Notamacropus eugenii: one gene and its partner. The protein of the gene in region 1 purifies or fractionates together with the protein of each later gene. This does not show direct contact. Links are inferred from orthologs where the notes say so. Each region holds a gene or a part of one and is shown in the gene's direction. Other genes may lie near its edges.

Region 1 (7,634 bases):
CATATAGTCCAAGTCTTTTTTTTTTCTTTAAAGAGAATGAAAACACCTCACTCTTAAATTTTCCAGTTTCATTCTTCTACAAAATGCTTCATGTATAATTGTAAATCTAAGTGTATATGAAAAAGAAATAAAGACCTTATGAAAATACTGATCATGACTCAACAGTTTTTAAAAATTCAGATAACCTTTTTTATACATATTAGTAGTCAAAATGTGTGTATTTCCTTCCCACTAAATCCATGCACTCGAAAACAGATTACTAATGACTTTAGAGTTAGTTACATTCAAAAATGTCTAGTTCTTTGAAAAGGCTGAAAAGACTGAAAAAGCTTTTTCAGAGCCCACATCAGCAGCTGTGGTTTCAATCTTGATTTTCTGGAAATACCAGTGCTTCACTTTCTGGTGTGGGAAATCATTCTTGATAGACTCTTAGGAAAGAATTTCTGGAACTCCTTTAGTTAGTTTGTTAGTTTCATTCTATTCTTCACTGACTTATATCCATTATTATTTCCTTCAATGATATTACCAGGGATTTGGTATTAAAATTCTTCTGGACTAATCTGCAGACAGAGTCACATCAGTATCTGTTCCTGGGTACTTTATCTGGACCCTTTTAGATGAACTACTTGCTCCTCTACCAAATTCTTCAAGGAAGAGAGAACTTGCAAGATCTCCTGAAGCTTGTCCATCAGAAATGTCACTAGCCTAGAAGCTAATAGGTCATCCAAATCTACTTCATCCTTGAAGAACAGGATGCAATGTGGAAAAGTCTGAACCATGAGAGTATGGGCGCCAAGGCCATCATAGAACTGTGGCATCTTCTCTTTTAAACAGATCTTCAACATCATCCTCATCAACAATTGTAACTTCCTCTGATTTTCAGAAGGTAGGATGAGACAGTAAATCTGACATGCTTCAATAACAATTTTCTGTTTCCGTAACAAATCCAGTACACTGACAAAGGCATCAAAAATCTGAAGCATGAGCAGATGTTCCTTTAAGAGACATATTAATTATCTACTGTAGATTTAAAGACATTTTTCAAATCTGAATACATGCACTGCTTGAAGTTTGAACAACTAGGGCAATTTGCTAAGCATTTCATGGTTGATAGAGTACCCAAAAAGGAAATTCTTTGAATTTATCCATAAGATTGACAGGTCCTTGCTTACCAACACTGTATACTTTGTGGATGATAAACTTTGAGTTGACAAGGTCCAAAACTTCCTCCAGGAAAGTCAGGTTAAGGATTTTCTGTAAATGTGATGATGTCTTAGACTTCCAGTTCTCCTCTACATTAGCCTCTGTCAGCTGTTTCTGATAGGCAGATGGGGACTTCTCCATTTGAGAAACTGTGAATTTGTATTAGGTTTCAGGATTTGTCACAGTAGGCCTCACTGGTACATTTTCTTGGGAAGCATCTAAGTGCTGATCATTTCAGTCTGGGAATTTGTTAACTGTTGCTCTGCAGGGTGATCTCTTTGGGTATGGTTTCAGGAGGAAGAAGGAGGAAATCTGTGGAGAGGTTGGCTGTCCATGATCCTTTGGGAATATTTTTCTTTTAGCAGCTGTATTGTTTGTTTGAAAATCACTTCTGGACCGAAGTTTTGGCAGCACATGAGTAGATCTTGTAACCAATCCACATCTTCTGAGGCCATTTAGCAATGTTCATAACTTTTGAAATGACTTGGATGTTTCTGTAGGGGGGTATTAGAGACTAGAAAAAGCCCCATTGTTTTCATTCCACAGCTTTGTTAAGAGGTGGTGCCCAGGTTCAATTATTCTGTTTCACAGCCCCACCCTGGTGCTCCCCTTCTAGCTTCTTCGAATGTCCCCTGTCCCCTTCCCTGCTCCAGCTACACCCTGGCAACGCCTTGGGGACCAGGGGAGACACTTCCTGGGGAGACTCCAATTCCCCCAACAGACCAGGGAAATTGTAACAGTGATCTTTTCCAAACTGCTCTCTAACCAGGTCTCCCACATCTTAGAAACTAATTTCTCAAATAGATTATTTGAAGTTAATTTCTGAAATCCATAAGCTGGACTAAATCTACTTTTATCTCTATTACATTTCATCTTCAATTTGTCTTGCTTGTCAAGATTTTTTTGGAATCTGGGCATCATCCATCTTGTTAGTTAGCTGTACCTCCTGACTTGGAGGTCACTTGAAAATTTGATAACTGTGCCACCTACACCTTTAACCAAGTCATCGATAAGAATGTGAAACAACATGGGGTCAGTCACAGACGGACATGACACATGACATACAATCACAGATGGCACTTCTTTGGCCCTCTCTTTCCAGGCTGACATAGAACAATGAACTATTCTCTGAGTTTAGCCATTTAACTGCATCTGAAGCCTTGTATTTGCACTTTCATCTAGCCTTTATCTCTCCATCTTTTCAATAAGGATAGCATGAAATATTTTGTCACTTTTCTAAAATAAAGGTGTAAATTATGTCCATTACATTTCTCTCATCTACTAGTTTAGTAATCCCATCAAAAAACATGGAAACAAGGTTGGTTTGGGATGATCTATTCTTAATGAAGCCATGCTGGTTCTTTTGTATTCTCCTTATCTAGAGTTGCACAAACCCTGTCTTTAGTCATTCCTCCTAGAATTTCATAGGAATCAAAGTCAAACTTGCTAGCCTATAGTCTGCAGAATCCATACTCTTTCTTCTTTTCAAAATTGGGACAAAATAATAATCCCCTATTTTTATAATACATAAATATATAAATAAAACCTCTGAAGGATCCTCAATAATTTTTAAGACTATAAAGGGGTTCTGAGACCAAAACATTTGAGAACACTGGTATAACCCCGCCAATAGAAATTGGGACAAAATAAGCCAATGTGTCCCTTGAAAAGTTAAAAGCATCACCCAGATTTGTTGAGGTAAGGAAAATTGTTCTAACAATCAAATAGAGATAAGGACTGTGCCTGTGATCTCACTGGGATAGGAAAATCCCAAATGAAGAACTCCCTCTACAATGCAGGTCAGTAGTTTCTCTGCAACTTGTAGTCACAGAGAACTGCTTAAAACACTGACAAATTAAATGATTGATGCTAGGTCACTAGTATATGAATATACATGTCAGTCATTCAGTCAACAAGGCTAATTGTGGTAAAACGAAGAAAAGTAAAAGACAATCGCTGCCCTGAAGGAGATCACTGTCAAATGAAGGGGACAACATGAAAACAAGTATGAATAGATAAGATAAATTTGAAATAGTCAACAGAGTGAAGGCAGTAGAATCAAGGGGAACAGCAAAGAGGAACATGTGGATTGCAGAATATGTATGGGAGGACAAGATTTGTAGTCTAAGACAATGAGAAATGTGTGTATGTGTGTGTGAATGTGTCTGTGTGTGTGTATGTATGAGTGTGTGAATGTGTGTGTATGTGTATGTGTGTATGTATGTGTATGTGTGTCTGTGTATCTGTGTGTGTACGTGTGTGTGTATGTGTGTGAATGTGTGTGTATGTGTATGTGTGTATGTATGTGTCTGTGTGTCTGTGTATCTGTGCGCGTGTGTGTGAATGTGTGTATGTGTGTGAGTGTGTGTATGTGTATGTGCATGTGTGAATGTGTATGTGTGTCTGCGTGTCTGTGTGTATATGTGTATGTGTGTGTGTATGTGTGTGTATGTGAGTGTGTGTGAGTCTGTGTATGTGTATGTGTGTATGCGTGTGTGTATATGTGTATGCGTGTGTGTGTGTGTGTGTGTGTGTGTGTGTGTGTGTGTGTGTGTGTGCGCGCCCGTTCAGCACTGGGGGTGAGGGGCTCTGAACAAAGGCTCGCAGAGGATCTTCTCCGCTCCTGGAGGTGCTGAGGGGACGCCGGAGCTGAGCGGGAGAGCAGGAGAGAGGCTGTTGGACGGGGCAGGGCTCCAGCCCGGCTCTGCCTGGCTCGGAAGCCGTCCTCTGGCCATTATCCTACACACTAGCTGATGAACTGGACAGAAACCTGGCCCCGGGAAAGTCATTTTAACCTGTTTCCTCGTCTGTAAAATGGGGATAATAATACCTAAGAATAAAAGGAGACCATGTGTGCACTCTGTAGTGTCCCAGAAGTCAGAGCAGCTGTAAGTCACTGACGCTGAAACTTCAAGCCACCGAAGTGTAAAACTGCACTGAGGCTTTTGGGACACACTGTATAAAATGATGATTGATTAGGATTATGATTGCTCCACATTCTTCCTCCTCTTCCCTCTCCCCCGCCCCTCAGCCCCTATCCCCGCCCCCCCACTCCCGTCCCCGCCCCTCCGCCCCTATCCCCGCCCCTCCCCGCCCCTCCGCCCCTATCCCCGCCCACCCCGCTCCCGTCCCCGCCCCTCCGCCCCTGTCCGCGCCCCTAAACCTCTATTACCGCCCTGCCATCCCTATCCCCGCCCCCCCCCACCCCCGCTCCCGTCCCCGCCCCTCCGCCCCTGTCCCCGCCCCTAAACCCCTATCACCGCCCTGCCATCCCTATCCCCGCCCCTATCCCCGCCCCCTCCTCGTCCCTCCCCTTTCTCCTCCTCCTCCCCGCCCCCTCCTCGCTCCCACTTCCCGGCCGCCGTCGCTCTGTTCTCTGAGGAGCGCTGGGGGAGGACAAGATGGCGCTGGGTGGTGGCGCGGAGCTGTTTGGGGTGGCGGCGGCGAACACCCTGTCCAGCTTCACGTGCCCGGTGTGCCTGGAGGTGTACGAGAAGCCGGAGCGGGCGCCCTGCGGACACATGTAAGCGGGGAGGGGGCTGAAGGGAGGTGACTGCCCTTGGAGCGGGCCCGGGGCTCTGGCTGAGGCTGGGGGCTACTTTGAGCGAGTTGTGAGCGGAGAGACAGACCCTGAGGAGGGCGGGAGGGAGTGCGAGAGCCTGGGGGCCGGGGTCCGAGAGAGGCGAGGGAGGACCGTTGAGAGAAAGGGAGTGAAGATTAAATGGTGGGACCCAGGTCGGGGGGAGGGGAAGGGGGACTTAGGGTCAGACCTTCCCAGCTGTGTGACCTTGGGGTGAAGTCAAGTTAACTTCTGTGGGTCCCCCTTTCTTCATCCGTAAAAGGAGTGGAATGAACTCAATGACATCTAGAAACTTGAGGTCTAAAAGGATGATCTTGTGGTTCGGGGCAGAGGGAAATCCTGCGGGGTGGAGGTGCACCTCGGACGTAGGAGAGGGAGCGGGGTTTGAGGGAAGAGAACTGGGGGTGAGAGAGGAGGTCTGAAGAAAAGGGGAAAGGGGGTGGCTGGCTGTCGCCCCATTGGGGTGGGCATTGAAGTAGACCGAGGTTAAGGGGAGAGAGAAAAGGGAGTGATGAAATGCTGAGCAGAAATAGTCTGTGATTCTATGAAAAGAAATGTGGAAGGAGGAGAGGAGAGGGAAACAGACAGGAGGCGGTGAGGGGCTTTTTGTCAAGTTGATAAAGTGAACTCCGGTGAGCTAAGTGTGCTTTCTACTCGACCCTAACCAGGGAAAGTCACCAAACTGCCCTTTGAAATGTGGTTGTTAACTCGGGCGGATTCTATGCCCTCGAACTTTTAACTTTGACACAAAGGACGTGACGTTTATTTCCCTTTTCCTAACCCCTGTTTGGATGCTTATGATGGATGTCAATGACTTTGGTGCCTAGGATACTACTAGTTTAATATCCAAGAGTCAAGATTAACTGAAGCATTCAAAATAGAAAAAGTGGGTGGGGCATCAGTACTGAGCCTGGGAGAAGAAATGGTAGGAAAGTGAAACTGAAGGCCTAAAGCGAAACAGAAACTGTTTAAAAAGACCAGTGAAATTAACATGACATTAGTTGGATGTGATTTTAAAATCATTTTATAATCATCCACATGCCAGGTAACATTTGGGATGTGGTCTGTACCTCCTTACAAGGACTGAAGATTTTGGAACACAATTTTGTGTTAATTTGAAGAGGTAGTTTGCTACAGTAGAAATTACACAGGGCTGTGAATCAGAAGATTTGGATTCTAGTCCCTTTCTGCCACAAATTCATCTATGTGTTTTTGAGGAGGCTGGATTCTCTCTCTTAGCCTCAGCTTTCTCATATGAAAAATGGGCATAATGACCCCAACTCTTCCTACTTTCCAGGATTGTTGTGAGTATTCAATGAGATAGAAGTGAAAGTGAAGTACTATGCAACTGAAATTATTGTTAGAATTTTTTGTTGACTGGTCTCTGTTTTCATTGTTTCCTTGGGATTAGGTATCTACTTAAATTACTGTTTTGATGGCCTACACATGTGTTCAATAAGCATGTTTGGTCATTATTGCAGATCCAAATCCAATGTGTCCTTTCCACAAAAGCTTAATCCTGCTTTAATAAGCCTGGGGACAGTTGTAATTATGGGGAACACTGGGTAGCATACCAAGTGATACAAGTGGAATGTACTTGTTATCAGGATGGCTGCTGTGGGTAATACATTGCCATTGCAAGCTTTCTGGTAAATTTTATTATAAATACTTTGTCTTAAATCCACCACATTGGATAAATTGCTATTCATTGATGGAGTGTTTATTGTTCATAACAAGTAATTTTCTGTCATCAGATCTTCCTTAGTTGGCATACCACTGTTGTCTGATGAGGACACATGCAGAATGCCCTCCTTGCTGTGAACTCTTGTCAACCCTAACCCTAAATGTGCTCGATTCTATCATTTTGTTTCTGTTTTAGCTTTTGTGCTGTTTGCCTGCAGCAGTGTCTGAAACCGAAGAAACCTGTTTGTGGAGTCTGTCGAAGTGCTCTGTCTGCGGGAACCAAAGCTGTGGATTTAGAAAGGCAAATTGAAGCAACAGAGGCAACCTGTATTGGCTGCAAAAAAAATGTATGTACAGTAATCAAGATGGTGCATTCTACTTTTCGCTTGTGCCTTTGTAAAGTTCATTTGGTAAATAAGTGAGGGAATTTATTCTTAGTGGTTGCTGTGCTGCTAAACAATAATAAAATCTGATATTTATATGGCACTTAATGATTTAATAGTGCTTTCCTTTCTGCAGTGCTGTGGCTTTAGGTAGTATGAGAATTTTATCACTATTTTATGAGGAGAAAGAAAACTAAATGGTCAAAGAGGTTGAATTAACAGGTCATTCAATAAACTTTTATTAAGCACCTATATGCTAGGCTCTTGGGATACAAAAAAGAGGGAAAAGACAATCTCAGCCCTTAAGGAGTTCACAACCTAATAGAGGAGGAAACATGCAAACAGTTAGGTACAGACAAGCTATAGATACCATGAAAAGTAAACAATTAGAAAAAGGAAGGCACAGAAATTGAATGAAATAGTCAGAAGGCCAGTGTCACTAGATCTAAGAGTATGTTACATGTTGAAGAGTAAGATGTAAAAAGACTGAAAAGCTAGGGGTTATGATGAACTTTGAATGCCAAACAAGATTTTGTATTTGATCCTGGAGGTTATAGGGAGGCAATGGAGTTTATTGAGTAAGGAAGTGATATGGTTGGATATTTGCTTTAAGAAAGTCACTGTAGTGGGAGGATGGATTGGAGTGAGGAGAGACTTGAGGCAGGCAGACTAACCAGCAGGCTATTAACAGTAGTGCAGATGTGAAATGATAAGTGTCTGCCCCAGGGCGATGGTAATATCAGAGGACAGAACCATACCATATGTGTTCAAGAAATATTACGGAG
Region 2 (8,029 bases), on another chromosome or scaffold:
ATGATCTCCTCTCTTTGGTTATTAGAGCTACGTATGTTCTGGGTCCATCTGACCTTCCAAAGATTTTTGCCCATTACCCCGCTGGATGTGCTCTGAGCGCCATTTTAACCAACCAACCTTTCTCTTTTGTTCACTGTGCATTATACTCATTCTTTTTCATGCCTTTTCACTTTAAAAAAAAGTTTATTCAATGTTTTATTTTCTGCCAATTACATGCAAAAATAATTAAGATTTGTTTTATAAAACTTTGAGTTCCCAATTCTCTCTTCTTCCTCTCCTCACCCTTCGTTGAGAAAGCAAGCAATTTGATAGGTTATGCATGTTCAGCCATGCAAAATACATTTCTGTATTAGTCATGTTGTGAAAGAAAACACAACTAAGAAAGATAAAGAAAAAAGTAAGCTTCAATCTGCATTCAGACTCCATCAGTCTCTGAAGATGAATAGCATTTTTCATCTTAAATCCTTTGGAATTGTCTTGGATCATTGCATTGCTGAGAATAGCTAAGTTATTCACAGTTGATCACTGTACAACACTACTGTTTCTGAGTTCAATGTTATGCTCATTTCACTTTGCATCAGTTCCTGTCTTTCCACGTTTTTCTGAGAGCATTCTGTTCATCAATTCTTATAGTATACCATAACTTGTTTAACCATTTGTCAGTTGACGGACATCTCAATTACCAATTCTTTTTCACCACTAAAAGAAGTGCTATAAATATTTTTGTACATATGAGTCTTTTTCCTTTTTAAAACAAATCCTTTTGAGATACAGGCCTAGTTGTTGGTATTGCTGGGTCAAAACCATTGCATGGTTTCATAGCCCTTTGGGCATAGTTTTTCCATGCTTTTTCACAGATTGTTCCTCCATCCTGGAATTCACCTTCTCCTCATTTCCACATCATGGATCCCTGTCTTCTTCAAAGCTCAGTTCAAGTACCCCCTCTAAAATGAAACCATTTGTAAGGGCCTGCTTCCCAGAAATTACTTTTTATAGACTTTCTATTTAATTTTCTATGCACATTTTTTCTCTAAATAGAATACAGGCTCCTTGAAGTCAAGGACTAATTCATTTTTGTCTTTGTAATTCATATGCACTGTGCCTAGCATGCCTAGCATGTTGAATGAGAGGAATAGATGCATGGATGCATGAAGATTATCAGATTATGAAACCCAAAAGGAATCTCAAATTTCAATAATTAGTTGGTGACTTTTGTAAATACTCTAAAGGAATAACAAAATAACAGTTGTTATTTTGATAAACTACACAAAATCATTATAGGGAGAATATTTTAATTAACTAAATCCACAAAATTCTACTCTAATGCCTTGTCACTACATGGAATGATCCTGGATTCTCCAAGACTATGTCAACACAGCCTTAGCTCTGGCAGGTTTTACCCTGTTGGAAAAGCTTTGGTCACACTCCTTGGAATAGATCAGCTTTGCTTTTCAGGGATCCAAGTACCAAGGAGGCTCATGAATTCTTGGAACACATGCAACACATTAAAATGCATAATTTCCCTCCATCCTTTATGGTCCTCTTCCACATCCACCCAGTGACAGTGGCAGGATAGAGGGGAAGGGCATAAAGGGTACTAAGAATCACATAGTTGTTTTTTTACTCAATTTTGTTTTCATGAAGATCTGTATTGTCTCCTACCTCTCTATGTCCCTATTGAAAAAAAAAAACAAGAAAAATGGTATTCTAAGTATTAACATCTCTGCTTGGTGGCCAATAAGCAGATGTACTGCTGGAAGAGCTAAATGATACCAATCAACATCATTGCTGTTAACAAAACCAAAAGAAAGAAGTCACAGCTAATTGGGAGGTTGTTTACAGGTAGTCTTAGAGAGGCAAGGAAAGGAGTTGACAGTTGAAAGGCAAAGAGAAACACTGGTTCATGGGGCTATTTGGTCATCTCTGATTGCAGTTCTGTTTGTTAAAAGACCATCATTAAAATAACTTCAGTCTATACGCCAATGTCAGATGAAGAGGATGAAATGATAAATTCTTTGAAGAGTTGGATAAGAACCTCCAAATCCCAAAAATTCTGATACTTAGTAATTTCAAAGCAAAGTTGGGGAGAAGGTGAGGGTGTTGAGTAATACATGGACAGCATGGTTCAGGAGGGCAGCTAGGTGGTACAGTTGATACAGTGCCCAGTCTGGAGTCAAGAAAGACATCTTCCTGAGTTCAAATCTGGCCTTAGGAATTTTACTAGCCGTGTGACCCCGGGCAAGTCACTTAACCCTGTTTGTCTCAGTTTCTTCATCTGTAAAGTGAGCTGGAGAAAGAAATGGCAAAACACTCCAATGTCTTTGCCAAGAAAACCCCAAATGGGGTCAGGAAGAGTCAGACATGACTGAAAGGACTCAACTACGACTATGTGGTTCAAAAAAAAGTAGTAAAAGAAGTCAAAGACTTGTACACAGGAGACTCACCTTTATGTTACCTCAACAGAATCATCCCTGCTTCTAGGCAATCTTTTCATATACCTTAGTTAACTCTTTATCTCATTCACCATAGTGGTTCTTCCAGACCTTTCATCCCTCCTCAAAACCCCCACGGCTCCCCAGCCCCCTCAGTTAAGAACTTTGCCTCAGTTTACTGACAAAAAATGAGACCACTATCTAAGACCTCCCTCTTATCACCTCCTTATATCACATCACCCAGATGCCTTCTGCTCTTATCTCTTCCACCTTTGTCTCACATCAAGAGCTGGCCCTCATAATATTCTGCATTATTTAAGAGGGAGGCTATAAGCATTCATAGAGCACGTACTTTGTGCCAGGCACTGTGCTAGGTGCTTTGCAAATACCTCATTTGTGATAATTAGGTGAATTATTCTCTCCACAACCCTGTGAGGTGGGTGGTGTTATTACGCCCATATTATAGCTGAGGGAACTAAAGCAATGAGGTTCTCAAGTGACTTGCCCTGGGTCACACAGCTAGGAAGTGTCTGAGGTTGCATTTCAAGTCAGGTCTTCCTAAATACAAGAAGCACAAACAAGGAACTGTGTTCTGCTCCAATTTACAACCCATAGATGGAGTTGGCGAACCCAAAGACAGTGGCAGCCACTAGGGGGCTATCCTGTAAAGAGGTGTAGTAGCCCTGCCTGCTCCATCTTCCTTTATGCCCATGTAAGAGGATTCCTGCTTGTTTAGTGATAGTGATGCTTAGTATCATCGCTAATTAAGCCGCGCGACTTGTATGTTCTGTTGTTTCCATACAAATATATACACATATATGTATACATACATATATACTTTACTTAAAGCAAGGGTATGATTATTGTTAACTAATAGGGAGAGAGATGAGGGCTAGAGAATTAAGGTTAGATTTGGGGTAAGAACAGGAATAGTGAGGTTTTGTTTAGAGACATGGTAAAGGTTAGTGCTAGGGACTGTAACAGGGATGAAAACACGGACAGTAATTTAAATGAGCTTCTCCCCAGTGACAGCTGTTGCACAGGAAACCAAAAATAAGAAAAAAAGAGCCCGTCCGGAATCGGTCCCTCAAGAATTAGAAGGACATCGTAATCAAGGGGAAATGGTAAGGTAGATGCCCTTTGGAGAGTTTTAACTGAGGTCACAAAAACGCTGAGAGGGAAGCCGGTAACATTTTAAATAACAGGGTGGCCACCAAACCCTTCTATCCATCCATCTCTATCTGCTTTTTAAAAAGAATGGATTGGAAATTTTAAGAAATGTAAAAACGGACTAGAGCTTCCAGATAATTGGTCAGACCTTATCAAGCAAGTGAAGGAAGGCTCTGCGCTCAAGTCACTTTTAAGCCTAAAACGTCAAATCCTCTAGAAGCAAGTAACCTGGCTGCGGAGGCTGCACGTAGGACTGAAAGGAGAAGTCTGCGGGCTTGTCACCCCATGGACGCCGCTCAGGGCAGAGAATTCCGAGGGCTTTGTTCTGCGCACAGGCGGATCGCTGGAGGTCAGCACTTGCAGGCATGGGTACGGAGGTCACAGGGAGGGGCTGGCTCGCCTTCACCCCACCATCCACCTGCCCCAGCACCGATGGACGAGGGCAGCTGGGGGCGGTGAGTCCCCGAGCCAACGCAGCTCCATCTCTGTCACCGCTTCTGAGTCTCTGGCGACCCCCTCTGGGGTTCTCCTGGTCAAGACCCTGGCTCAGCGCTTCCTCTTCTGGCTCGTCCGACGGCCGAGGGAAGTGGAGGCCAACAGTCCTAAGGGGTCGCGCAGCGAGCAAGCGTCCGAGGCCAGCCTGGAACCCGGGCGTTCCCGGCGCCGGGACCCGCGCCCCGTCCCCCCCCCCCCCCCCAGCTGCTCAGTCATCGCCCCACTTTCGAGAAGACACAGACCTCCTCTTCACGTCAAATCCCAGCTTATCAAACCTTGGTTCTACATGAATTCACTAAAGTGTCGTTTAAACACTATTTGTCTGGCCTGACAGAAGGGGAGTGGGGAGTGGCTTGGGGCAGTCTGGAGGTGACCGGCCGGGAAGGCTGGGCCAGGGGCCAAGACTGGGGGGAGCCTCGGGGGAAGGTCAGGGCCGCTTGGGAAGTTCAGTGTGTGGGGGAGGGGGCCATAGCCTGCCTGCAGAATTGTTATAATATGTTCATCCTGACCCCGCTCACTGACCTACGGGGTCTCCCGGGGCTCCCCCGCCCGAGCGGGGCGGGGGCAAGTTTAGTTTTCCGTCCGGGGGCCGCCTTCAGTTTCGATTTGGGGCTGGCCCCGCCCTTCCCCAGCCGGTTCCGGGCACGCCCCCGCTTCCGGTACGAGGCGAACCGAGGCGGGGAGGGGCGCGCTCCGGCTGCGGCTGGGGTCCGCGGAGCGAGCGAGCGCGCCCTGCCATGGCGCAGGCCGCCATGGCCAGCCTGGTCACCAAGGACCTGTGCGCGGCCGGGGGCAGCCTGGGGCTGGCGGAGCTGAGTCACCGGCTCCCGGGCGGCGTTAGCGAGGATGCTCTGGAGAAGTCGCTGCGCAAACTGGCCCCGGGGCGCTTCGTGCTGGGAAAGCGCGGGGGCGGCGGCGGCGGCGGCGGCGGCGGCGGCGGGGAAGCCGGGGGCGGCGCGGGGGAAGCCGGGGGCGCCGGCGGCGGGGCCCCGGAGAAGCGGGTGCTCGTGGCCGCCACCGGCGCCAGGCTGTGCCCCGCCTACTCGGCCGCTTGCCGCGGGCAGTGCGGGAAACTGCACCTCTGCAAGTTCTTCGTCTACGGAAGCTGCAAGTTCTCGAGCAGCGGGTGAGGGTCCCGCCGGCTCGGCGTGTGAGGGCCCCGGGGGAGGGGGGCCATTCCCGGGGTCACAGCCGCGCGTCTCCGGCCTCGGCCCCCGGGCCCCCTCCTCCATCCTCCTTCGAGGCCGGCGCTGCCGTTCTAGCGTCCCACCGACGGGGAGGTCGAGGCCAGAGGGCCGGGGGCCCGTTCAGTCTCCCAGCCGAGGCCGGGCTGACCCGGTCCGTCAGAAGCTCCAGCCGCTCGCCCCTTTAAATGCGTCGCGTGACCACCCGCTATCCCGCGTCCTCCCGCGCGGGGCCGTGGGGCGGTGGGCCCCGCCCCCTTTCCTTCCCTTCCCCCCCCCCCCCCCGCCGTACTTCTAACCTTCCTGCCGTTCAGTCGGCCTCAGTGGGGCGCTGTGGCGCCCTATGGAGGGGGTCGGGCCGGGCCGGGCCGTGACCGCGGCCGCTCGCGGCACGGTCCTCACGGCTCGGGGGAGCGCTAGGTGAGAGGACGCCAGGGCGGGGGCTGCGGCCGGGCCGGCTCCGCCGTCACTTGGTTGTGCGGATGAGGAAACTGAGGCCCGGGCCGCCAGGGCGGGGCAGCTTGTCCACGTGCTCCGGAGAGGTGGGAAAGGTGTTCCCCGAGGTGAGCCGCTGCCGGAGCGAGCTGGAGGTGCGGCCCTGGAGCCCGGAGAGCCCGAGCCCAGCCTCGTTGGGTTTGCTCCCTTCGTGACTTCCTCCTTCGTGACCTGAGGACCCCGTGGGCCCGGCCCGCCCCGCTCCTGGAAGCCAGCCACGAACTTCCCAATTTGTCTGTAGTAATGCTGCTTTTGCGTACCGTGCCCGCTTCGTGCCAGGCCCGCCCCCGCCTTGGTATCCAGATCGAAGCCAGCCTGTTATTAAAGCTGGGACTGCCCTTGGCCAGGAAGGATGGCGGACGACAGGGGAGAGACTTGGGGTGTAGGTGGTAGGGACTGAGAGAGGAGCAGGGCCCAGCGGAGAAGGGGCGTGTCCTTGTCAGAGAAGCCGAGCCATCATGGTGGTGTGGGAGCTGGGGCTCCTCCCTGGCCCCTCAGGAAGGAGGGAGTGAAGAGTTGTTTGGATCATTCTCTATCCCTTGTACACCCTCCTCCCATCCCTCCTTGCCAGCAGACCTCCAAGGCCTGGATGATGCCTTTCTGTCTAGACTGACTCATCTGTCTTTCTGTTTGTGTCTGTCTTTCTCACTTGCTCAGATTGCCCCAGTCCACGCCTGGTTGTGGGATTGTTCCGGCCCCCCATCTCTCATTTCTGTGGCAGGCTGGCACATGCCAGGTAGCTAAAGACTCCTCTTCCTCTCCTCTTTTCAGTCATATCTATCATGGAAGGGAACCTGGATGAATGGTATCATTCTCCCTGTTGATGTCAGGGAGAGACTGGTGCTAGCTCCAGTATGGTGGCTCTATCTTCTGGCTGTGTCCGACCTGTGGGTTCATTTTTTTCCCTTTTTATCCAGTACCTAACCCAGTTTCTGGCTCAGAGTACCTACTTAAATGCTTGTTGATGGGGGCAGCTAGGTGCCAAAGTGGATAGAGCACCAGAGTCAGGCTGACCAGAGTTCAAATGGAGCCTTAGACGCTTATTAACTGTAAGACCCTGGGCAAGTCTTGAAGCCCTGATTGCTTCCTCCCCCCGAAAAAAGCTTATTGATTGATCTGGAATGTGGGCGATCTATAGTATAGTTTGGGAACACTGACCTGTCAGATTATTTTCAGCTTTAATGAGTCTGTGATTAATAATTCCAAGGGAATTTCCCCAGATCACAAAGTGGCAGAGTCAGGCCCCCGGTTCTCCTGATTTCCTTTCCAGTTATCTTTACAACAACAAATGCAAAAAAATGATTTTCATTAAGCTGAAATCTCACCAAGTTTCTCCTTTGCTCAGTAAAGTCCAGCAGTTCCTTATAGTCTCCAGAATAAACCATAAAGTCTTTTATAACCATGTTCCCACCTCTCTGTCCTGCATCATTATTCATTCCTGACTTTTGTGTACTCTGGTCAGGCCAAACTGGCCTTCTCTTGGTTTCTCATGCAAGACACTCCATCTCCTATGTAGTGGCTGTCTCCCATACCTGAAGTCCACTCTCTCCTCATCTCTACTTCACAGAATTCCCAGCTTCCTTCAAGACGCAGCTCAGACACCTTCAGCATCCCCTCAAGCGCTGGTGCTCTCCCCTCAGATTGCCTTATGTTTAACTACTTTGCATTTATTTGTATTGAAGCTCTATGTTGTGGGTGTATATGTATATATGCATACACACATGCCCACATGTTTGTGTATCCATGTATATTCTGTATGTATACATACATGTGTGTCCTTCATGTTTCCGTCATTAGAATCCATTTCCTGGATCCGTGATTAGGTTGTTAATAAACACTTGATCGTTCAACTACCAAGATATTAGTTCACAAGGACTGCCAGACCAGTGGGAATCCTGTGCGAGTTGGAAAAATGATCACATTAGAGAAAAATGTAGATTACAGGTTGACCTTTGGCAAATTCCCAGATGTTTCCTGGTCATGGCTGATTTAAAGATCCTTATCATCTTGGCAGTTGTTTGTGTAGTCTGAGGCGAGGACTTTTGACAATTTATTTCACCAAATTGGGGACGTGGCAGGGAGTCCTTTAAAGTACTGTATGAATGAGTTATTTTTAGTAAGGGTATTTTGGCATTGGGTGGAATTTTGTAGCTTAAAAAAACTCCTCTCCCTCAAAGAATAAAAGACCTTCAGATTTTTCCTATCTCTCCTTCCTTGTAACAATGCTTTGTCTTTTGGCAGACGAGGGCAGTG

The links.
Region 2: the proteins of RNF114 (region 1) and PARP12 purify together in Homo sapiens (affinity purification with mass spectrometry; 3 studies listed by BioGRID and IntAct, counting the BioPlex papers as one, with this or other methods). This does not show direct contact. The link is inferred for Notamacropus eugenii from reciprocal best matches to the Homo sapiens genes RNF114 and PARP12.

The regions. Positions count from the first base shown.
Region 1 is NC_092872.1:517,084,715-517,092,348, reverse strand, and holds the start of RNF114 (E3 ubiquitin-protein ligase RNF114), read left to right. Parts: upstream 1-4,491; 5' UTR 4,492-4,604; coding exon 4,605-4,726; intron 4,727-6,662; coding exon 6,663-6,813; intron 6,814-7,634. UniProt on the Homo sapiens protein: E3 ubiquitin-protein ligase that promotes the ubiquitination of various substrates. In turn, participates in the regulation of many biological processes including cell cycle, apoptosis, osteoclastogenesis as well as innate or adaptive immunity.
Region 2 is NC_092874.1:108,949,968-108,957,996, forward strand, and holds the start of PARP12 (protein mono-ADP-ribosyltransferase PARP12), read left to right. Parts: upstream 1-4,744; 5' UTR 4,745-4,834; coding exon 4,835-5,223; intron 5,224-5,574; exon of another isoform or gene 5,575-5,624; coding exon of another isoform or gene 5,625-5,701; intron 5,702-8,029.